Linked DNA regions of Rhinolophus ferrumequinum. The protein of the gene in region 1 interacts with the protein of each later gene in a pairwise test. Links are inferred from orthologs where the notes say so. Each region holds a gene or a part of one and is shown on either strand. Other genes may lie near its edges.

The links.
Region 2: the proteins of SIPA1L2 (region 1) and AP3M1 interact in binary tests that used the Homo sapiens proteins (3 or more experiments, as listed by UniProt). The two-hybrid records come from large-scale screens. The link is inferred for Rhinolophus ferrumequinum from reciprocal best matches to the Homo sapiens genes SIPA1L2 and AP3M1.
Region 3: the proteins of SIPA1L2 (region 1) and DDX6 interact in binary tests that used the Homo sapiens proteins (3 or more experiments, as listed by UniProt). The two-hybrid records come from large-scale screens. The link is inferred for Rhinolophus ferrumequinum from reciprocal best matches to the Homo sapiens genes SIPA1L2 and DDX6.

Annotation. Positions count from the first base shown.
Region 1 is NC_046310.1:24,634,856-24,642,293, reverse strand, and holds the start of SIPA1L2 (signal-induced proliferation-associated 1-like protein 2), read right to left. Parts: upstream 3,364-7,438; 5' UTR 3,175-3,363; intron 1-3,174.
Region 2 is NC_046299.1:51,445,917-51,454,276, reverse strand, and holds the start of AP3M1 (AP-3 complex subunit mu-1), read left to right. Parts: upstream 1-5,283; 5' UTR 5,284-5,543; intron 5,544-6,478; exon of another isoform or gene 6,479-6,669; intron 6,670-8,360. Other genes in the region: ADK (adenosine kinase), read right to left, coding at 4,952-5,016. UniProt on the Homo sapiens protein: Part of the AP-3 complex, an adaptor-related complex which is not clathrin-associated. The complex is associated with the Golgi region as well as more peripheral structures.
Region 3 is NC_046294.1:88,088,696-88,097,069, reverse strand, and holds the start of DDX6 (probable ATP-dependent RNA helicase DDX6), read left to right. Parts: upstream 1-5,297; 5' UTR 5,298-5,456; intron 5,457-5,465; exon of another isoform or gene 5,466-5,998; intron 5,999-6,109; exon of another isoform or gene 6,110-6,238; intron 6,239-8,374.

The sequences.
Region 1 (7,438 bases):
AAAGTCAATTTCTGAATCATTGATTTCAAGGTAAACCAAGTAAGCTGTAACTCTCATGAATGTTCACAAACTTACAATAAGCCAAAGAAAGGAAAGACATAATCATGAAAAAATGTACACTATCTCAATCAGTGATTTTCATTACTCTGATATGTTTATTTTAAACGTTATGGAAACCTAAACTTTTGGTGCTGAAAGGGATCATGGAAACACTTTATCCAAACTCATCTGTGACAGGCAGTTGTGGCAGGAAACGAGGTTCCCGACCCTCTGGCCCAGAGCTTTCTACCCTATCATCCTGCGAAGGAATTAGGTGCATTATAGAAGGAGAAAATCCAGAACATGTTTTTGTGTATTCTTTAGGACTGCACTGCAGATTTCCTTCAAGTTCAAATAAGAAAAAAACAACAACTTTGTTTTGCTTTTCAGTTAACAATAACAGTCGAAATTTTCTTCAAATTCAGCATGTTTTTGAAAGGATTTGTAATCCTAAACCACCACCATAAGTACATCATAAGTTCAAAGATTCAATGCCTTCCCCAATCTTATAAAAAAAAAAATTGCATTTACCAATTTTGGCTGGGGTCTAGGGAACTATATCCACATAAACACACAGTTCTTTGCAAACTATGCAGTAAACGTGCAACCCCTTTGAAACTAGTTTTGTTAACCAAACACAGCACTTTTAAACTGGTTTGAATTGCCAGACAATTGCCCTTTCAGGGTGGCTCACTAGTATTTCCTCACTTTCAAGAATAGATAGATTTTCAAAATGAGTAACTCACTACTACCCCTTTTGCCTCAGGTAAAAAGATCCCCTAAGATAGACAGGAGTTTACTAAGCTCAAGTATCAAAAACTCTTCAAAATACCATTCCTGTCAGGAAAGGGGGTGAAAAAAATGTACAAACCCGTATTACACAGCCTTAACTACAATAAGCACCGTAAATGCCAAGTCATCATGCTCTCATAATTCCCCTATTACATTCCATACAAGCGAAGCTCTGTGAGAAAGGAAAATTTTGAAAACATAAAAAGCACTTGATGAAAAATATACACTTAAACCAGCTGGAGAAAATCTGCAGCCCACACTCCAAAGCCAGAAGCTCCACCTCCATACCTATAATTTATCTCCCGCTCTATTTTCCGGACCAAATGTTACACTGCTTCTTATCCAAATTCACTTCGCCCCATCTATAGGTAGCATGTGGGTATTGATAAAAGCTGTTTCTGATTTCATTTCATTTCCTACTTCCCAGATGTTTGCTAGCTTTTTCCCCCCCTTCAGTTATTTATGAATATGCTCTGATTTAGAACAAACAAATTCAACATGTTATATTTTAAGCTGGGCAAGACACACAATAAATGACAGCTATAAAGATAATTTCAAGATATTTCTCCAGCTTATAAATAAGTTTGCCACTTAGGCAAGATTTGGACAGGCTGCTATGGTCTTACTTTTGAAGAAAGCACTTAAAAACACATAACTGAGAACGTGCTGTTGCTGAAATGACCAACTAGAGGCTACTGTACTTCTCATAAAAGGGGTTGTGCTAAAAATGGACAGACAAATATCAACTATCAGCTGGGGAGAAGGAAAGTTGTCCCCAACGTTAATTCTTGGTACGAATCATTCATACACACTTCAACTACACCTCTTCAAATGCATGAATGAAAACGTTAGCCAGAATCAATGCTATCTGCATCCAAAACTCAAGATTCTACTTTCCCATGAATAGTATTCTTTTATATCTCTCCAAATCAAGCAGCGAACTACGAAATCAAGTGGTAAACATCATAAGTGGAAATGTTGTCTAAACAGGATTACAGATCTTCCCGTAGAACTTTGAATTCTTCAAATATGAAGGCAAAACATGAAACAGATACCCTCAAATATGTGACTACAAACAGTAACCAAGTTGTCTCTTGAAATTCATCTTTAAGAATGCAGAAATAATAGACCACCTTTTGATAATCTGCATAAATATTGGTTTTATAGGGAGGTAACACATTTTCAAAGAAAGCAATAACAGTATTTTCCCCCCTGATTACTAATTGTAAAACTGTAAGAATTAAAACCTGATTGCACATAGGCGACTAAAAGCGCAGTTCACTAAATGTCTGTCATAAGAAAGCCATCTAGTGTTAACATTTAGAAATGAAAACTGCAGACAAAAGAGGCAAAGAAAAGAGAAATCTAAGTGACTATTTTGAACTTACTGAGCAAACCTATGAGAATCACCAAGGTTCTTTGTTTAACAAAAAAAAAGGCCATCCTTACCAAAACCAAGTCCAAATCTCAGCAAAATCCAAAATCACTACTGTTTTATTTTAACCAAAATCCTGTTTGGTGGCCACAATCCCGTGACCGGTGCACTTGATGTTCCCAGTACTCGCGCTGGAGTCATCTCGGGCTGAATTAATTTAACCGAAGCAGGTTAATGATGACAAATACCTCCCAGAGGGGTAATGCCAACTTGTTTTCCCTTCCCGAGGAGCCTCCTCGCGCTCCTACATGATGAACCGAAATTGATTCTTCGGGTTTGCGGCACGGTTGGAAATTCATCTGAGGTGCTCGTGGGGATACTCCAAGGACACGGTCAAACTAGCTTTAATAACGTGGGGACGCGAACGGGACCCGAGCGGAGGACGCAGCAGACTCGGCCCCCGGGGCGGCGAGAGGGCGTCTGACTCCGAAGGCAGGTCGCGCCGAGTGAGGGGGTCGCCGGCCGCTCGCGGTCCTACAAAGCGGGACCGGGCGCGGCGGGCGCTCGGGGCACCATCTCCCCGGGAATCACCCGCAGCAAGTTCGGCAGGAACCTCGCCCAGCGCGCCGGTGCACCGCGCCGGGCAACCTTTTATCTTTTCTCTCAGGTTAGTCACAGAGGAGTCGCCGGGCGCCCGGAGGAGGTCCTCATTAGTGAGCGTGTCACCAAGACGGAAATAACCTTTCAGGCGATCGATAACTTTGAGAACGAGCGGCGGCGGCTCCGCTTCCACCGGGCTCGGGAGCGCGGGCGCGTCTGCGAGCAGGACCCCGCGCCCCGGCTCCCTGCGCCCCAGAACTCCCGGCCGCCAGCCCCCCAGGTGCAGCCCCTTCACCGCGGGACAGTCCCCGCCGAGACCGTCCCCAGACACCACCAGCAGGCTTCCATCCGCTCGCCCCGACACGCACCTCAGAGACGCGGACCTCCGGGACCAGCTACAGCCCGCGAGCGCGCGGAGCGTACCGGGGCCGCCGCCTGGACGCCAGCCGCCCCGCTCTGCCCATCCGCCCGGGCTCTGCCTGCCCCGGGCTCCGGCGGGAGGCGGCCGGACCCGCCGGCTGAGCTGGAGCTGTCGGCCTGCGCTCGGGCAGGCAGGCGGCCGAGGCGGGCGCGCGGCGCTGCTCCTCCTCCGCCGCCGCCGCCGCCGCCGTCCTCCTCGGGCTCCACCGGCTCCTCCCGGGCTCTGGGTCTGCAGCGCCGGCTCCCGACGCCGCCGCCCGCCCGCCCCGAGGCACCGCCCCCCACCCGCGCCGCGGCCTCCCATTGGTCGCTGCCTGCAGGCCCCCTCGGCCCCGCCCCGCGATTGGACTAGGGCGCCGTCCGTCCCACGGGCCCGCGGGCTCTGTGAGCAGCCAGTGCGCAGTTCCCAGGCCCGGGTGCGCGGGAGCGGCGCGTCCCGGAGGGGCTCGGGCTCGGTCCTGGGGAGGGAGCTGCGGCCTTGAGGCGGGTGCAGCCTATCTGGACCCGCCCCGAGGGAAAGCCGTCGTCGTCCTCCTCCGGATTGGTTCGCCCCGCTGTCAGGGGTAAGTGAACCCCCGAAGCTGGCTCCAAGCTCCCGCGGCGCAGTCGCGACCCTTTCTGGCCTCCACTCTCTGGAGTTAGGAGAATCGCGCCCACCTGGAGCTCGGGACCCCGCGCCGCGAAGTACTGAAGGTCTCTGGCCGAGAAGACACAGGCAGCTGCGGGCGCTGCGCGGACACCTGCCCCGGACGCCGTAGAGTCGCTGAGGCTGGCGACCGTCCAAACCACCCCATCGCCATCGCCGTGTTCACAGGAAGGGGGCAGAGGGGCAGCCCGTACTGTGTGCCAGCCCCGGGGAGCGCCCCCGACCGCTCAGGCGAAGCCTCTACTGTGAGCCGGCTCCGAAGGGTGCCCCCAGATCACCGAGGTGATGCCCCTTTGTGTGTCGGCCCAGGTGGTGTCCCAGCCCCCGGTGACTGTGGTGGAAGGTTGCACAGAGAAAGGCATAAATGTTAATAAATAGAAGGTTCGAATGAGGTTAGGTAGGTGCCTGTGCGCAGAAATGCTATGGAGATGAGACCTTTAGGAGTCAGGAGGGAAGCTGAAAGGGGCTCGCAGTCCAGGATCTCCCGGACCCGCTCACCCCGCCCTTCCCCTTGGGCAGCCCTCAGCCCCAGGGAGGAATGCTCTTGGATCTTTATCCAGAAGAGGAGGAAATCAACTTTTTATACCTATCTTCTCTACTTTCCTAGGAGGTGTTGATTGCCCAGGAGGAAGCCTTACTTGAAACTAACTATTCATGCAAATTGCTTGAAACTTGCATTGGTTGCTGAGTTGAAAGGATCACAGGAGACTGACTCTTTTAAGCTAGACTGGAGTTGACTCTGCCTAATGACACAGTGGGGGTTACAGCCTACAGGCAGGAATAGACTGGTGTAGGTAGCCTCTAACTCACCTTCCAGGGGTTCCTGAGCCGGCTTCACGTTGCACCGCACTTCTTGAGACTGGATTCAGGGCTTTCAGCTCTGCCCTTTCTAGAGGTGAAATTCTTCCTGTATAGATAATGTCTATACTTCCCTATCACAACACGCCCTGGAACAGAACCCTGTGAAACATTTGAGGCAGGCCCTCCCATGCTATATTTCTCTGTGATCTAAAGCATGTACACATTGTAAAATCTTTTTTATCTCTTTTAAAACACGGCTGTAATATATGGGAATGGGTATAATAAAACATCTCAAAGAGTAATATTATGACATGACAAAATTCTTGCCTTCTCCAGGTTTGAATGGGCTTCTCAATTGTCCCTTCATTCTCAGCCTTTATAAAATTGTCATTTATTTATTCAACAGTTATGGAGACCCTGTCGTGTTCCAGAGGCGCTGGGTGTGGGAGGTATAAAAACGCATACGACATAGGTTCTGCTCTCCAGGAGCTCCCCATCTCACACATTGTAAATGCTGTACGCAGGTCTGAACAAAATCCCACAGGGGCAGCCATGGAGGGACATTTTCTGGGGCACCTAAAGAGGAAGCACTTCTCTTCATAGCATGTTGTCACAGTACTTCTCCCACTCTCGTAATGGCACATGTCATTGTCTTTCCCACTGTTCTATAAGGGCCATGAGGAAAAGAAAGTCTTCTTCCCCAGGGTTTTGACCCCTGAGGCAGCGACTGCCTGAGCCAATTGTCCATTGTCTGATAGACACCTTTGGTGTGTTCCTTAATGCCCAATACATAATGGTCTTTTGGGGAAGTCAGACCAGACACTCTCAATGATGACATTCTCTTCCTCTCCCACCTTACTACCATCCCTGTTCTTGGGGTTTGCAAACTAAAATTGAAATATGCCAAGTCCTTTGGTCACTAACAAAGTTGACAGCATTTTTAAAAATGCTTGTAATTGACAGTGCAGAGTCAAGAGGTGTGTGTGTGTTTATGAAAGTCTGCGAGAGCTGACTTGCCCAGAGCCCAGATGCCATGCATCCCTCCCTCATCAGAATGTTCCTGGCCTCAGCACACCTACTGAGCCCCTGTGTGGTGCCAGGTCAATGGGGACAGTAGCAAGATGGCCCCGGGCAAGATCCAGAGGGTCTTGTGGCAGACTGTAAGAGACACGCAAGAGACAAAGCTCAAGAATGATTTTGGATCTTCCCTACCAAATAAAATATTCTAGAAATATTATTAAATTTAACGCTCGTGTCCTTTCTCGCTTGCTTTTATAGGGAAAGATAAACAGGATAGAGATTGGAATTGCGGCACCTGTTAAGATAGTTTATCATTTTGGCCTTAGGATACCTTACTGAGGAAAAAAATATTTTGCTATTAAGGCTATACATTTTGCTAAAGTTTTAAAGAAAAAATATCAACTATGATGCGTAAAATTTGTATTTGCCTGAAAACTAGAGTGAACTATCACATGTTTATCTTCTCACTTTCATGTTCCCTGAGGTGAAGACTTCTTAAGCCTCACTTTTTCTCTTTTCTCTTGTGAATTTCATCACCCTCCTGGAGTTCCTAAAGAAACAAACTCAAGGGATTAATTCTCTTTACAACTGTGAATAAGCACATCGACTCCTTCTGAAATAATTCCGTCAGTCTTACCTGTTTTTTTTCTAAAAGCTGTAAAGAGGCAGAGAGTTCAAAGACATACCAGCTGTCTACCTTGTTCCACGGTTTTGAGCTTGTTGGCTGACCTAGCTTGGTAGTTGTTTCTATTTACCTCTGAACTTAGCAAACCAGGAGTTTTATTTCCTTGACACATTACAGCAAGAGTCTACTTACAGATGCTATGCATGCACTGCAGTGAACCTGAATGGCTAAGTTAAGTAAGGGGTTCGATTCCCACCATCATTTCCTCCTTTCCTTTTCTACTTTCAGCTCTCTTTTTTAAAGTGTTTCTTTTACGTCAAATGAATATTCATAATTTGCAACAAATATGTGTGGATTGCATGCTACATTCGGGGCATTAGGGTAAACTCAAAGCACCCAGAGGGTTGTACACCAGAATCATAAGGAACAGAACTTGGGAGAAAATGCTCAACACCACCAATGAGTGGTACCCACAGGGAAAGCAGGAGAAACAGCCATTGGCAGGCAAAGCTTGGGCAATGGGGAAGGCTTCACCTAGGATATCAAACCTGCTTAGCAAGGAAAAGACAGCCCTGTTGGTGAGAGGAAGCACAGTGGGCAAAGACACAGGAGCCAACTGTGCCAGGCGTGTGTGGGAAACAGCCATGCCCTATGGCCAGGCACAGGCTTATTCACTTACATAACAAACACTTACATGGTGCTGCGTCCATGCCAGGTCTCATTTTCTTCTTACAGGGGAAATCTTCCCAGTGGATGAGCACATGGGCACAGCTTCACCTTTCCTTCAAAACAGAAACATCTTGCAACAGAAACTTGTGAAGTAAGAAATGCCAAGTTCTGCAGCAATTGAAAAAAAAAAAAACAAGGCTAAGCTGCAGCTGAGAAAGCTGGGTTACTGGCCCTGGTATACCAGTAGTCCTGCTAAAAATAAAGCACATGTTCCTATTCAAATAGAGCCCAACAAATAATGTAAGAATTATCAAATAATATGCTAAATATCCATAGAAGCCGAAGGAAAAACTCTTGTAATAAAAAAAAAATCAATTTTGCAATTATATTTGGAGGACTACTCAGTGCTCAGTTCTGCTCTGGGGATGCAGAAGATTATTACACATAAATA
Region 2 (8,360 bases), on another chromosome or scaffold:
ATCTGGCAGTTCAGCCACTTCTGTGTCACATCAGGTTCACAGTTTTTAAAGCAACAACTGGAAGCAGAGGATTTCAGCCTTCTTTTCATCTAGCCCCAATCCAGCTCCCAGTTTCATCCAGGGTATCTAACTCTGTTCCCCTGCACAGTTATTTCCACCAGCTCCTAAATCCAGAGTCTCACTACCGTGTTTCCCCAAAAATAAGACCTAGCCGAACAATCAGCTCTAACGCGTCTTTTGGAGCAAAAATTAATATAAGACTGGGTCTTATTTTAATATAATACCTGGTCTTACATAAGACGAGGTATAATATAATATAATAATATCATATCATATCATATCATACCGAGTCTTATATTAATTTTTGCTCCAAAAGACACATTGTCCAGCTAGGTCTTATTTTGGGGAAACACGGCAGGAAAGGATCTTATGAAGGCATTCATACAAAGTACCTCAGGAAACTTTTGTTTTCCATTTTCCTTCATAGCCCAAAGCCTTAATCTTAAAGAATTAAATTTATGAATATAAGTGAACAGCATGCAATATCATCCAAAAAGAGCCAAACTCAATTGTAGGCTGCATTATAAAAAATGCAAGTTCTAAAAAGTGAAGATTATCAGTCCCACTCAACGCTGTGCTGATGATTCATTTAATAAACATTAATTGAACAGCTCCTAAGGACCAGGCACTGTGCAACACACTAAGAACACATGCTCATCCTTCCTCTTTTGCAATCTGCATATATTTTCTCATGTAATCCTCACAACAGACCCCTCCAGGAACAGAGTGCTCAGTTTAATCTTCCAGAAATTTTTCTGAAAGAGGAAAAAAATGTGTTTTAGAAGAAGGGATCAAAGGTATTGCTTGGTCACCTAAGATACTTACAGATTTTTCTTCCTAAGTTTACAATGCAATTTTAAAACACGAGGTCTTGAATGAGGTAGGAGACAAAGTGAAAGAATAAAATGAGGCCATGAAAGTGAATGGTTAGGAAGCAATAATTTGAGAAAAGCTCAATATTCATTGATTGGAGAACTGTCATTTGTTTCCTTTTTAACATTATTAAAAATCATGACCCAGAATAATCTTTAATTGCTAATGTCAGAAAGAGTTATGTTGTGGGCCCTTAGGGCTGAACGCTTCCTAACATCAACTTAAGAGCTTACAAATATTTGCTATGATGACTAAGTAGAGCTAGGCCTGAAGATTAGGCAGAACTTGAGACTGCAGGTAGAGAGACTAGTTAAGAGGTCAATAAAAAGTCTAAGCAAGATAAAGTCTAAACTGGAGATGTGGCAGCAGGAAATGAAAAGGAAAGGCATTTATGAGATATTATTGAAGAAAAAAAGACCAACTTGATAACTCTATGTGGATGGAAAAGGAATCAAGTAACTAGGTTCCAAACTTTAGAGAGATAAGTTAGTGGTACCATTTACACATACAGGAAGCAGGGAAGAAGGTGCAGATTTAGGTCAACAGATGGATTTAGTTTGATATATATGACTTTGAAGTGTCAGCAAGACACTCAGAAGGAGATATTTAGCAGACAGTAAGATTAGGGTCTGAAAGCTAAAGGATATAGAGATAGAAAGATCACACATGTGAAGAGTGTCCAGTACAAAGCCTGGACCCCATACACCTTCTGCTTCAGTCAGACCAAACCATATGTAGTTCTCCATTGGGCAGCTCTCTCCCATCTCTACCTCCAAACAAACTTTCCTATAAAGCCAGACACCCTACTTCACACCTGGTTAACTCCTTGTCATCTTTCAGAATGCTCAGGTATCATTTTCCCAAACCCCACTCATTTCCACCAGGAGAGTGTTACCTGGGTCTTACCTCTCTATATGTAGGTACCTAATTTTTAGCACCATGCTAAAAAGAGCAGGCCCTTGAAAGACTGATTGAAAGAACAGACTTGGCATATGCTCAACAAGCTTTGGAAGGAACTGCATCCTCTCAGAGGTGACCGCTAAAGAAATAAACTTGGATGACATTTCCAAAGGAGAGAAAACTAAGACGTCCTAAATATAGGTAAGCATCGTGGAGCACCTTCACCTAGAAAGCAGTTCCCAAAAATTCTTCTAGACTTTTTTCAGCCCTAAATACCTCACCTGTAACACAGGGATCGTTACGCCTACCTCACAAGTTGCTGGGAAGATTAAATGATATAGCATACATACAGCACCAAGTATAATGTCTCAATTAATGTTCCCGTCTGATCCCCAACTCAATGTGAAAACATGTTAGCGTCTGCTTATTTATTGCAACTTTAGTAACTGCTACCCTGAAAAGCAATCCAGGTTAGAAAAACTATGCCCATTTGAGAAAGGGAGGCTAGACTTGTCAGATGCTCCCCCTAGAGCAGAGTTTTTTCAATCTCAACACTATTATTGTCAATTTTGGCTGAATAAGTCTTTGTTGTAGGGGGCTTCCTGTGCATTGCAGGTTGTTTAGCAGCATCCTTGAACTCTACCCACGGGGTGCCAATAGCACGCTCCAAAAAAATGACTCCAGACATTTGCAAAATGTCCTCTGGTTGAGAACCAGTAGCAGTCCCCAACAAAAATGTCTCCAGACACTTCCAAAATTTCCCGTGGTTGAGCACTGCTACTCCAGAATTCTGAAATTGTCACAAAAGTCTAAATCCTTTCCCTGGCATCTACAAATATCTCATAAACTTATGTGTTCCCTCACTGACTGATCTACACATTAACTTAGGCTTAGACTTTGTAAGTCATTCTCCCTAAAAGTTAACCAAAACTGATAGCTAGCCTCTGAATTGTCAAGCAAGTCATCATAAATAACGCATGCAGTCTGACCACTCAGTGTATAATCCCACTCAACCCTTAAAGCCAAACTAATATAATGAAAGTAGAAACAGCCAATCCTGAAACATCTTCACACAAAATTAAGAGATTTGTCCCAGCCCTCAAGTGTCTAAATCTTTTAACTTTAAATCTACAGGTGGCATTAAGTAGATAGTGTATAAAATGAGTTTCAGTGGCCTAAAGACTTTTACAAGTGTTAAATACATTAATGATATACAAAATATATTATATATATTTAAGAATTATTTTGTATCATATGCCCACATATTGCAACAACATAAAAAGTTACGTACACTAACAACAACAACAACAAAAAACACCCAGAAGCAAAAGTAGTGGAGAAACAAACAAAAACTGAGTTAACAATTCACTAGTATTTTGGAATAAATTGCTTGAAGTTAATTAAGTATAGCATGGTAATTAAGAGTACAGACTTGGAATCAAACTACCTGGATTAAAATCCCAACCCTACTAGATAAGTGACCTTGATAAATTACTTAATCTCTCTATGCCTGTTTCCTCCTTGGTAAAATAGAGATAATTACAGTACCCACATTGTAAGGTTGTTGTGGAATTGAATGACTTAAAATAGGTTCAGTGCTGATATAGTGTCTAGCAAATACATACTTAAGTATTAAACATTATTTATCATTCGTTGTAAGGATGCATAGGCAGAAAGTATACCTTTGGTGGTTATATAAAAGTAGACACAGTAGAGTCCAACAACAATGAACTTGCACCCAAATGCTCTGGGTTCAAACAGTTAACTAAATATTTCATTTGAGCTTCAATTTCTTCATCTGTAAAATAGGAAAGCACTTTGAAAATGGATTAACATAGGAAAATCTAAGGGCAGTTTGTTTAGTAGGATAGTAGGGAAAAGTTGCATCTGTCTGCCAATTTACTAGAGGAAACTTTGTGAAAAGAGGTGACTTTTAAGGAAACACTCTAATAATGGGTCAATAGGGAAAGCACTCGAACCCAGATAGGTCTAATTCAAAAGCCCCTTTTACTCTATAGTTTGTAAACTTAAAATAAAAATAGAACATCCTGAGTTGTTACAAAATAAAGTTTATTTTCTTCGTATGAGGTAGGCACATTAACCCTTTGACGGTAGTAGAAATACATTAAAGGCACTGGCAGGGATTTGGTCACCATCCATTCAAAACAGCATGAACACACCACCAAACCCCTAAGAGACCCTTTCTTTTCAATTATGAATGATTCATTCTTTCGGAGGTAAAGAGGGGTGATGCTGGAAGAAATGAGATTTCTCTTGTATAATCAGGCGTGTCCCAATAGTTTTAAATCAATTCGATATGTCCCTTTTTAATTAGAAAAATCATTGCTTTCCAACGATTATTGCAAAAGCAAGGACTGTGCACACTGCACTTTATACTTATTAGGAAGGTATATTTAACAAACAGCTTTTGATAAGTGAAAGTTGCGACATCAATCACATGTGAGGCAGGTGTCGGACGCAGAACTCTCCCCATTGCTGCCAAAAAGTACAAAGAAAAAAAGAAAAATCAGCCTTTCCTAACCATTCAGCCAAAGGCCGCCCCCACAAAGCCTCAGAGGCGGGGACTGAGTCCCTGGCAGATGATCTTCACAGGTGCCAGCAATCAGTCTCTATGAAAAGGAAGGTCAAGTCGTCCTTCCGCGACATTTACGAAAAAATCCCCAAGAATTATGTCTTTGCCCCAGGGCAGAGCAGTCGCTGGGTCTCCTCCTCGTCACCCCACAGGGAAGAGGAGATGGCCGCGTTTGACCGTGCGCTGGTCCTGCCCGGTTCTCCCGGGTCTCTCACCAGCCCAGCCTGAGAGGGCTCCCACGTGGCGCCTGCATTTAGCTCTCATCCGGCTCCGCAACCCCGACCGGCGCTCTGATTGGTCACCGGCGGCGGGAGCCGCTCCGGAGCACGAGGCGACTCAGCCAAACTGGGCGGGCACCTGACAAGAGATCGCAGCCCTGCGGGCAGCTCCCGGAGCAGCGGTTTCTGCACTTTGGCCCCATGCCGGCAGCGAGGACGCCACCCAGCGCCAGGGCCGCACAACTACACGTGGGCCCGGGTCGCGGCAGGTGCCGTCACCCTCTACCCTTCCTAGGGTAGCGCTCACCTCAGCGCTCGCGGAGCTTCCACCTTCAGCTTTTTGGGTTTCGGCTCCTGCTCAGCCGCGGCCATCTTTACGCTCCCAACCCACTTAGGCACCGGCGTGCGCCCCTTCGACTCTCTGGCCCCGCCCCCTCTCGTATCACCGCCTTCTTTTTACTAACCCCGCCCTCCCGACTCCTCCCAGTCTATGCCTCTCCCACCCACAGTCATTGGTTCTACCTCTCGGCTCCACCCATTAGCTAATATACAAACCCTTCATGGCCCCGCCCACCCAACTATAGGGGGACCCCAGACTGAGTTAGGCTGCGGATGAGCGCCTGAATCCAGATGGTGTGAGATTGCCCCCCATTCTTCTAGATTCTGGGTGATCTAAAAGATTTATATCCTAAACCGCAAGAGACATGTTTCTTCTCATTCAATGTCTTCCCGCTTATTTAATATTTCCAAATCGGTAGACCTAGTTGGTTTCTTTGAAGCTGTTAGTCAGGCAATCTACTGGGCACTCCAACTGCGGGGTCCTCACGGTCTTCTCAGCTGCCTCAGCCTCGGTCCGGAGAGGACCCGGCGCCGAATCACTGACAGGCCCAGGTGTCGGGGTGAGTGTGAGGGGCGGGGAGTCTGAGGTCAGGGGACAGTTCGGAACCTGGGGAGTAAGCTGAATAGCTGGGGTTCCGGACTCCAGCTTGGACTGCGGACCGGAGCGTCTCCGGTGCTGTGGGCCGGGACCGCGCCTCGCTCCCGGCCTTCCGGGCTTTCTTGCCAGCAGGGCCGGAAGGGAGCGGTGCACCTGCAGCTCAGTGTTTTCAGGCCCCAAACCAGAGATTCAGGCTCATTGGGGTTCTCCGGCGCGAGAAAAAGGTCTTGTCACCCATAGTGAGCTGGAGTGCCAACGATTCGGACGTCAGCCCCAGGCTTCTGCTTTGGAGAACAAAACCTCTGACCGAGCCGAGCGGACCTCTTGTCTGGGGTGGGGAATACAGTGAGGAGGGGATTGCACTTCTTCAGGAGAGAGTGAATATGGAAAAGTGATGAGCGATGTGGCTGGTTGGATTTGGTAGATTTGGATTGAACCTGAAGCCTATACTTTAAGTAGGTGGTGCCACTATAGAATTAGGAGCCGTCGGATGAGGAGAAGGAATTTTGTGGAACTTAGGGATATATCGAGGTTGAAACAGTGATTTAGATGGAAATGGTAGAAAGATTAAAAGAAAAAAAGTGTGGGAAGTAATCCGGAAAGAAACTTACAAGGTGAGAACCCAAACAGGTGAAGTTTCATATAAGAGGATAAGAAGTACTTGGTTTGTTTGGAGGAACGTTACCATGAAATGTACAAGGGTCAAAGGAGTAAATTGAAGTCTGAGAGTAGGTTGTTGGATTTGTTGATTAGGAAGTTAGCCATTTGAGAGAGCGACTTGAATAGAGTCAGTTACTGAGAGGAGAGACTGCAAGTGAACTCATTTGGAGTATGAAGCAAAAGATTATTGAGCATGACAAGATCCCTAAAAGGTTTGAGGTTTGTTTGTTTTTAAAGAATACAAAATACATTAAGTTTTGGTGCAGAAAGCAAGTAACCCATGTCTAAGATTAAAGATTCAAAAAGAGGAGATAAAGACCTTGGAAAAGACGAAAGGAAATGGGATCAAAATTACAAATGGAAGAATTAGCTCTGGAAACAAAGGAGGACACTTTCCATTGAAAACATAGGAAAAGTGGAGGAATGAGGTAAATGAAGAATTACCTGACATATCTTTAGTAGGAAAGCTCTTTTTGAAATAAGGTTAGCTTTTCTTACTGAATCTTAGGATTTTTACAATGTTTCTAAATAGTCAACATAATATATTATTGGAGTTCCCTGCTGATTAGATATTTTTAAGAATATTTAAGAAGCTCAATAATATCTCTATTCATGGGTAGCAAATGGTATTTGTAGTCTCTCTCCCTCTACAAATGACCTCTCTTATTACACACAGAAAATAAAAGCCATCATCTTCCTGCAACCAAATATACAAATCTTGCCGTTTGGTCAAATCCTTTCACCTAGTCTCCCAATACCATTCTCTCCTACTGTCTCCGGGTCTTCTTTTTTTCAGTTATTCTCCTACATCATCAGTCTTTCCCCTCTACTCACACCTTTCATTCAGCATGTAAAAATCATCTTCCTTAATTTTATGAACCACTCCTATTTATTTTCTTGTCTTTTCATCCCCTTCACAGCTAGAGCTCTTGAATGTATCAACTACTCGCCTTATCTATTTTCTTCCCACTTCATGCTATTTATTTATCAGCGCACTGTAGCATATCTAGTTTCCAGCTAAACGACCACTGAAACTACTTTTATAAAGATCACCAGTGTCCTGTGTTAAATCATATATCTCAGTGGGGACAAAAATTGCCTCTTGTGAAACAAACGAAAAAATCATACTCTTTTTATGTATAAAGCAAAGATATGTTTACAGTACATAAAGAGATATACAGATATACTGTAGTACTAAAATTTTTATGGGAGGGGTATGATTGAAGGGAAATCTGAAAAAGCAGGTAATAATGAAAAGAAAGTTGAGAAACACTATTAAATCAACAGTCATTTTCAGTTCTTGTAGCTTGAATTCTTTGTGCCATTTAAAATGTTTAATACTCCATTCTTTTGGAAACACACTAACACACTCTAGTCACTAAAAAACATTATCCTCCCCACCCCCTTTTTTTTATTCCCTCTTCAGCCATATCTTAGTCTTCTTTTTTAGGCCTACTTGCTTGACCCAACTGCTACTCAAATGTTGGAGTTCCTTCCACAGTTTCTCTTCTACTATGCACATTCTCTCTCTGTAATTTTATTCTCCTTATAGTTACAATTCCCATTAGTAAAAAATCATGATTACTCACAAATCGATCTCAAACTTGGCTTCTCTCTAAAGCACCAGACCTATATATACAAAAGTCTTTTGAATATATCCATTTGAGTCAAATATATCCAGATTTGGATCAGATTATACAGGATTAGGGCTAAATGCCTCATTTTCCCCTCTCATCTCCACCCCGCCCCCTCCCTAATCTTTGCTCAAACCTGAATGTTTCTCTTTTCATTTTCCTCCATCCTTACTGTCAACACTCTAGTTCAGGCCACCACCATAACACATCTCTCAACTGGTCTCACGATACTCAGTTGCCCCATTATGCAGTTCCCGCAGTACAATCTTAAAACTGTAAATTGGATTGCATGAATCTCCTCCATAAAACCATAGAAAATGATTTTACATTGCCCAGAGAATAAAGTGAACTAATCTCTGCTTATCTTCTTCTCCAGTCTCATCTCACAACTTCCCTCCGCCTCCTAAAATTGATGAATTTGTACTGGATTTGTCTTGTGTTTTCTCTCACATCAAAGCCTGTGAATTTCTATAGCACACTGTATC
Region 3 (8,374 bases), on another chromosome or scaffold:
TAGCTATTTCATGGATGATTTGAGTAAGTTCCATATATGACTGCCATTGACTCACAGTGTCTGGCAGCTTGCCAGCCTGTCCCCATACTGTGCGTACTGCAGCAGTGAGGCACTCCATTAGAGAGTGGTTGCCCAATGGTTTTGAGCCAACCTATGGCAGTTCTGTAACCTTTGTCGCAGGGACAGATGCACTGTCACGAAGGCTAGCTTTTCCATCTTGCCTGGGGAGCAGAGAATGTTGTCTGCTCCCTCTTCCCATAAATGTAGTAGCCAAGCCGAGACTGGCTCTCCAGGGCGCTGTCGGTACCGCCTCCCCAGCTCCTGCAACTCAGTGGGAGTGTAAGGGGTGTAGGTTGTGAACTCAGTCACAGCTGGGTTGCCTGCAGCAACGTCCTGGGTGCCCAAAGGTTGCTCCTGCTTTACCTTTTGTTTCAAGATTGGCAGGGTTTGGGGTTGAGAGCTACATTGTCTCTACTCCTCCACTTCCTCTGCCTCTGCCTCAGAGTCTCCACTGTGGGGCCCCTCTTCTAACAGGCGGACCAGGCTTCCAGTGCCTCCAACCGGGACACCTGGTCCGGCACCTGGGCCATTTCATTAAGCGCATTTTCCGTGTTGAGACTCAAGGCAGTGAGGAACATCCAGCCCACGCGGCCGGCTGTAGCCTTCGCCTCCTCCGGCAACCGCTCAGCCAGAGCCTGCAGGGCCCTCTCCACGCTGGCCGGAGAGTCGTCCATGGCCTCCCACCCGTCCTTGGGGGTCCAACTCCTGAGAACAGTGGCCACCGGACACCACACACTGTGTGGGGGCCACCCGCCCTCCTGCCCAGAGTCAGACTCCATTCCTACCTGGCCGGAATCTTGCTCACCTGCCAGGTGTCTCAGTGGGTGGAGGCCTCCGTGTAAGATGTCCACAACCCTCGGAGCCTAAGGCCGCAGCACACCACCAAAATGAAGGCAACACCATCCACGGCCAAGAGGGTGGTGTGCCAGCTGGAGGCCTGAGTCTCCCAGGCAGACCGCGCCTCCCGTTCCTGGTGTGGCTCCTCGTGGGCCTCCCGAAGCTGGGCTCTCACATGCACAAACCGCTCCACCATGCTTCCGCAGGTTTTGGCTGGCACCACACCCTGCTTACGAAACTGAGCTTTTATACGTATAAACTGCTCCAGGACATTCCGGAGAGGTTCGGCCGACACCACACCCTGCTCGCTACGCCATTTATCGTGCGGGGCGGCCTGCGGGGTCTCTGCTCCCGCTCCCCACATAAGAACGCAGGATGTGGTGAGGCCAAAGAGGAACACCCGCAGAGCCATAGGTAGGGGTCATACCACTATGGTCTCACTGGAGGCTGGATTCACACGACGTGCGACCTGCTGTCTGCTTTTCTGCCAACCGACCGACTCCCCTCAACTCGACTCCCCAACGCAGCCCGCGGCAGTTATATCAGTGGCCAATGGCTCAACGGTTACAGCTGACGGCCAACTAGCCACAGCTGATGGCCATCTATTACCCGAGCCAGCACCTTTCCACGTGAGGCTGGGAGCCTGGAAACTGCTCTCTGGGGCTCTGTCCCCACAGTGATGCACACAGTTCCCCAATATAATGGCTACATATCATTGCCCACTTCTATGGAGACAGAGTTCTAATATCATTAATGTCTATCATTAATGCTGCCAACAGATTATAATAAATTGTCATCATTGGGGAAAAAAGATGGGGAAGGTGAACGGGAATAAGAGGTTCAAATTTCCAGTTATAAAATAAATAAGTCATGGGGATATAGTGCACAGCATCGGGAATGTTGTCAATAATATTGCGATAGCGTTGACTGTGTCAGATGGTTGCGGACTTACCATGGTGATCTCTTCTTTAGGTATATAAATGTTGAATAACTGGTGTACACCGAAACTAATATAATATTGTAGGTTAACTCTATTTTAACAAAAATCTTTAAAGAAAAGAAATACACTCTTGTTACAAGGTCCTGCATACAAAGGAGGCATGGAACACATATCAACTCTATGACAATTCCACAAGATTGCCATGGACCCCCATCAATGTTACTCGTCAGCAACTGCCCCTGAACAAACACAGAAAGTACCCAGGGGACCAAGGCATTGTACTTGGGGACAGCGTCAGTTCTTCCTTGATCTGAGCAGACCATATTAAATTTATACCTGAAGAACTAGTGTCCAGATTTCGGTATCTTCTCAGCTGCATATTATTTTCAGATTAATGAATCAGTTACAATTGCTGGTGGACAGTAATTTTAGGAAAACTGAATAGGCAAAATGAATAGTTACAATCCTCTGGGTGAGGACCAGAACGTAAACAATGCTGGGAGCCGATGAGGCAGAAAGATACCTGGTGAACTGAACTAGCTGGTTATGGTGCCCTGGGAATAGGGAAATATCTGTCCGAAGGAATATAAATTCTGCAAACTAAACCTGGCAGTTTGGAGAAAATGTTTTTAACCCACCCATTCCCCTTCTTGTTTGTAATATTGCTTTCCTACTTTTCGACTTGAGTTTACTCGAGAAGTGGAACATTTATTCCAACAAAATGTGCCCGGTGAGGTGTCTCAGTGATTAAAGACATCTGCTTATTAGTATATATTAACTCCAGTGTAGTACTTGCACTTCTCTGAGGATATCTTTACTCAGCCCTCAGTCGGCTGATGCTGCATTTTCTTCAGGTGTATAATTTGAAGAGGCAATTTTTACCTGCGATGAAGTCCAAAAAAAAATGATACTTAGCTTCTTGGGTTCATTAGCCTTTAGTCTTGGTTAGTGACTACCCGATGTTGCTAGAGCATATTTGGAAAATAATTTTATCTGTTGAAACTTCTTTTGGAAATCAGAATGTTATACTGCAAATCATGGAAGAGGAAAAATGTTGTACTATAAAGCTTAGCCAGATGTGATATAATCATTTTATTGAGGATATGGTATGAGCAAATTTTTTTCCTTAAGTAATGAACACATTTGCTTGTAGTTTGAGTTAAACAAGTTATTACATTTCCTTAAAAAATATACAGAAAGTTAAAAGTGTGAAATCCATTTTAGCATGACAAAATCATTTAGATTTTAAGATAGTATCACAGATGTAAATATATCCAAGTTCAAATTACTTGGAATTCTAGATTCTAAATATTTTAAATTGAAGTTAAAATGAAATCAAGTGTAAATTTACCTGTGATTTTTTTTTCTTTTGGTTATTTTTAGGATGTGAGACTGGCAAACAATGTTTGCTGGGAGGATCCATTATTGTGATTGAATTCCAAGTAGCATTTTTCAGTCACATTTCACTCTTACAAAAAAAAAAAAAGAAAAAAGAAAAAAAGAATCCTGTTGTGTTTTAAACAGAAATACTGAAAACTTCAATTCTATTTGTGAATGTTTTTCTTTTTAAAAGTATCTTTCCTACGGACAGATTCTCTAGAAGCCAGCCAACAATCCAGGCCTAACACTTTAGCTAACAGTTCAAAATCCAAAAAGTAGTGTAGAAGGGAAGAGTGACTAACAACAAAATGAAAATGGTCAATACATCTCAGGAAGCACTTTATTACAATAAGTAGGTGACTTCACTGGGAATAGCACACTCTACAGAAACAATATTTACCACAGATCACCCAAACTATTATACTGAATATTAACTAAAAGATTTATGCAGTGTTTTTAAAATACACATTTTGTATATGTAAGGATACTGTGTACATTATCAAATAATTCATCTATATTTCTTAAGTGTCATATTCTCTGATTCTTGTTAATCTGTGTGAACTAGGGACAAAAAAGTCATTGAGATAGTTGGATTAGACCCCAATCAACTACTAAAATTGAACCCAGAAGATCCAAGCTTTCATAGCTTAATTTTATGCCGTCTATGCTTCTCACAAGAGCAGTAAAAAAAAAAAAGGCTGACATAAATAAGTTATAAGAATATCTGATCTTATAAGAACATTACACAGAATCTTTAAAAGTTTTAGCCCTGGCAGGATTCCTAGGTGAGAATGGGCAGCTATTTCATATTTTACTTTTAGTTGCCCCCTCAGTTTTTTTTGGTCAGGACTTCAACCAGGCCCCTTTGGAAGTTAACAGTTTATTTATGCATGCAAACCCTTTTCCTTTGCCGGGTCTCATTTCTTAGTGCTCTAGGGAGAGATCCCACCAGGCAGTGAGTAGCCTGATTTTAAATTCTTAGGCTCCTCTCCCTCCCACTCACTTCTTGCCCTCCTCCCCTTCACATTCCTGCAACTTGGAAAGACAGGAAAACAAGACTTCACACTTTAACATTTTAAAGGAGCCAACCACTAGCCAGCCACCTCTCTCTAGGATGGACACAAGGTGTACGGTTATTCCCTTACACGAGTGGGTATTTTAAAATCTGGTTGGGAGATGACATGCTACAACTTTAGAATTTAAAAAATTGTAGGGGGAGTCTTTTTAAACTCAAAAATAACCTCACATTTCTCTACCACCTTTCCATTGGCAGTGTGGAAATAAACAAAGACCAACAGGTAAGAACAGTTTGCTATAGCAAAGAACCCAGCCACCTACACTGAGTTTCGTGGACACTCAGGGCAGGCAGCGAGAAAAGGGGAAAGCTGCACGTATGCTCTGATTGGAGTGTGTTGGCCTGGGGAAGCTAGAGGCCTGCTACGGTACCTAGAAGCCAAGCGTCTCGTGTGATTGGTTTGGGGAACATATTTGGCTTTCTCTGATTGGTCCCGAGTTGGAAGCAGGGGCAAAAATTGGGGAAGCTGGCAGTCAATGACTGATTCCTGCCCATTCTCGGCGGATTACTGCGGGGGCTGTTGTTTGTCTTCACCAGCTGCTTGCAGCAGAGGTTGTGGGTCGGGGTCCTGTAGTCACACACGGTCTGGCCATTGTCCTATATATTCAGTCTCTCAGCCGGGTGAGGCCCGGGTTTTTCTTTTCCCTGACAGCTTTCTAGCTTCGAATTTTTGTTTTACTTGGAACACAATTTTCCTGTTATTTTTGTTAAGGGAAACGGAGACATTAGGATATAAAAAGTATTTATAAGAATAAATACATAAATATCCTTCAGTGAGGGTCAGGCGGGAGAAAGAATCACCCTCGGCCTTCCGGTTCCCCATGTCCCTACAGAACTCTTATTTCCATTATAACCGACTCCTCAGCGGCTTTCCTTTCCTTTGCGGGAGGTCCGGCCTTCCCCGCCCCCTCTTTCTTTGAAGATAGCCTATTGGGGCCGGGAGGAAGGTCGTTGCCCTAGGACCCCATCCCCCTCCCCCCACCCCCTCCCGGCGCAGCCCCAGCGCAATTCCCCCTCGTCGTGTCCTTCAGTCCCCGCCGGGCCCCCTTCCGGCCCCCTCCCTCGAGCGCGCCGGCGTCTCACGGCCACTAGTTCTGCATGTTCCTGGACGGACGCGGCCCCTTTGGTCCTGCAGCAGCTTCCCTGGCCCGCGGGAGATGTCAGGTCAGCGCTCCCCTCCCCGATTCGCTGCCGGGAGAGGCCGTTCTCCGAACGCGTCCTGGGTCAGGAATAAGCAGATCCTCTCTGGTCACAACTCTCGATTTCCACTTTGGGGGGCGGGCGAAGGCTGGGTGGACTTCGCAGTCACCATTCCCTAGTCGTTTCTCCTCAGCTGTGGAAAAAGCAGCCCTCCTTTCCCTTCTGAGAAGAAACCGTACTTCCCCTTCAACTTTCCCTCAGTTCTGGGCCCGCTGGGTGCCCGTTGGTGTGAGAGCACCGCTCTCTATTTTCTCTTGGGAGAGGTTCCGCGGCCCCTATTCTCTTGCCGCGAAGCCGCAGAGGCCGTGACGCCCTGGCGGGCACAGCGGCGGTGGCTGAGCTCTCGCCATCTTGCGTGGAGGAGGAGTCGCGGCCGCCGCCATGCGGAGGCCGGCAGCGAGGCAGGGAGGGAGGGGGGCGGCGGGCGAGGGAGGGGGCTCAGGAGCCGAGTTAGCTCAGCCCGGGCGGTGACTTCGGCGGAGCCCTGAAAGCGGGCAGCGACGGCGGTAAGGCCGGCCGGCGGGTGGAGCGGCGGGCGCGGGCGGCTCGGGCCTCGGCCTTTACAGCAGAGCGAGGGCGGGGGCGGAGGAGGCCGCAGAGAGGGGCCGGTTGGGGGCGGGCGGAGGTTTCCGAGGAGGAAGGAGCCGCCGCCATTTTGGGAGCTTCGAGTCAACAATAAAGGACCGAGGTTGCCGAGCGGGTGTGGCCTCGGTGGTAGGACTCAGGCCCGAGCCGCGGGGAGTGGGGTGAGGTCGGGGCTGCGGGAAGCCTCTCGGCCGGCGTGGGGGACACTGAGGCGGAGGCCTAAGACCTGGCTGGACCCTGGGGAGGAAGGCAGGCGGCAGCTCTGTGGGGTGGAGGCGTCTGAATATGGGGCTGTGCGCGGCGGGGTCTGTAGAGGGAGCGGGCCAAGTACTCGGAGGAGCTTTATACCGTAGAAGACGAGGGAATGTGGGACCATGGGGGCGGCAAGGACTTACGGTGATGTTGGAGGTTATAGGGTACGAGGCGGCCCTATAGGGGGCGGCAGGGATGTGCAGTAGTGGAGGGCTCCGTTTAGAAGGGGACCAGCAGCTGCTTGATTGAAGTAAGGCCTTGTAGGTCGGTAACGAGTGGGTGATTCTGGAACCCCTCCGAGTCGTGGAGGAAAGAAAGACTTTCTGGGTTAAGGGTTTCTCTTTGGGGCCTCATAGGAGGAGTACCTTTTGTTTCCTACCCGCGGAGCTCGTTCCCTGCTCTTGTTGCGCAGATAGGATTGCAGAGCCCCAACCCGTTTGTGTTTATGGTCACAGAGAGCTGACTTGGTGTATGTGTGTGCGGTTTTTTTGGGTGGGTGGGGTGAGGCGACAGGGAGAGCAAGAAATTATTGTCCTACAATTAGGGGGTCCAAATCATTGGCTAGTTTCCTTCCCTTATTGCTTACTCCCTTTTCCACAGTCCCCTTTTCCCCTCAGAATAAAACAGGCCAACTTGCAGATCCAGCTACAGAAAATGCGCTGCCTTTGCAAACAAAGCTTTCGCCGGAGATGACGATACTGTTTTGGGTGTGAAACTGTCAGTTGCTAACTACAGTCCGGGAAGTGGTGTAATTAACTCCGTATGGGGCTCCTCCCAACTAGTCTACGTTTCGTTCGTACTATTTAAAATGCAGAAATATAATTTCAAATCTAAATGGGGAAGGGATAGAAGGAATATTTTCTCTGAGATGTAAAACTGCAGTGCAGGTTTCAGTTTAATTAAGGAGGGGAGCAATTATCAGTCACAATTTGGATCTAGGGAGACAGGAAGTGTTACATGCCTGATGGACAGTAATGATATCATTTAATCTTTAGAGGTTGCCTCCTTCATCCTCTAGTACTTTGCAAACAAGTCTTCTGGTGTGAATTACGCGATACTGTTGATCGTAATATAAACCTGTCAATACAGAATACCATTTACTGCCCTGAACTGAAATTAGGTGACTGTTAACCACTATCTGCTTAGGAGATTAATTCCATTCTGGTAGACTTCGAAATATACCTCTGTGTGTATGATGATCTGGATTTGCTTGTGAGCAAATTTATTTCCAGTTTTTTAAAAAGTAAGAGACTCAAGAAATATTTTAAACATATTGTTGGAGAAGACTTTATATATGGCACAAATTAATAAAGCTTGTGTATTTTTGGTAAGAAATGTTAAAGGAGTTAAAAAGGAGTAGGCCTTTCTTTTCTGGCCTTTGCAAATTAAGTTTTTATTTACTACATTTTAAAAGAAGAATTCAATTTGGGGAATAATTAAAAATGGAGGAGATAAACCAGTTCTTTTTTAAAACGACTTGTAATTAGTACTCTAGGTTTCTTGGGAAATTTGATTCATTACTAGTGTATTTAGCCTTTCACAGATTTTTTTTTCCCCAACACAGGCACTTTCTTTTTAGTTTTTATAATTTTTTAATACTGTTATACTTCTTGAAAAGTGTTATTGAAATGTAGCTAATAGTTTTTTAGTATTCAAATTTTATAGTAGCTAAGGAGCTTCTTGGCTGTTTTTCAAAAAGGTGATTTTGACATGTAGATGTGTCTATATCCCTGCTTCAGTTATTGTTTCAAAGGGCAAAAACTTACAGGAAAAAAGAAAATGAATTTTTCTTCATAAAGTTGAACTTCTATAGTTGAAATTCATGAGTGCACAAATGTGTTTTTTCTGAAAGCATTAAAATTAAGTCAAAAGCTCACTTTTCAAGGATTCTCAGTTGCTGTCAGAAATAGAAAAAAAATTAATGAATTATTTTGCCTTGTTCATATGTAGATTTACATTAAGTTGTGTGGTATTTCATTGAGTTGTAATGTAATGAGGTGTAATGAATCATTGACTTTTAGAGGTGTCAAAGGACTTCTAGAGAA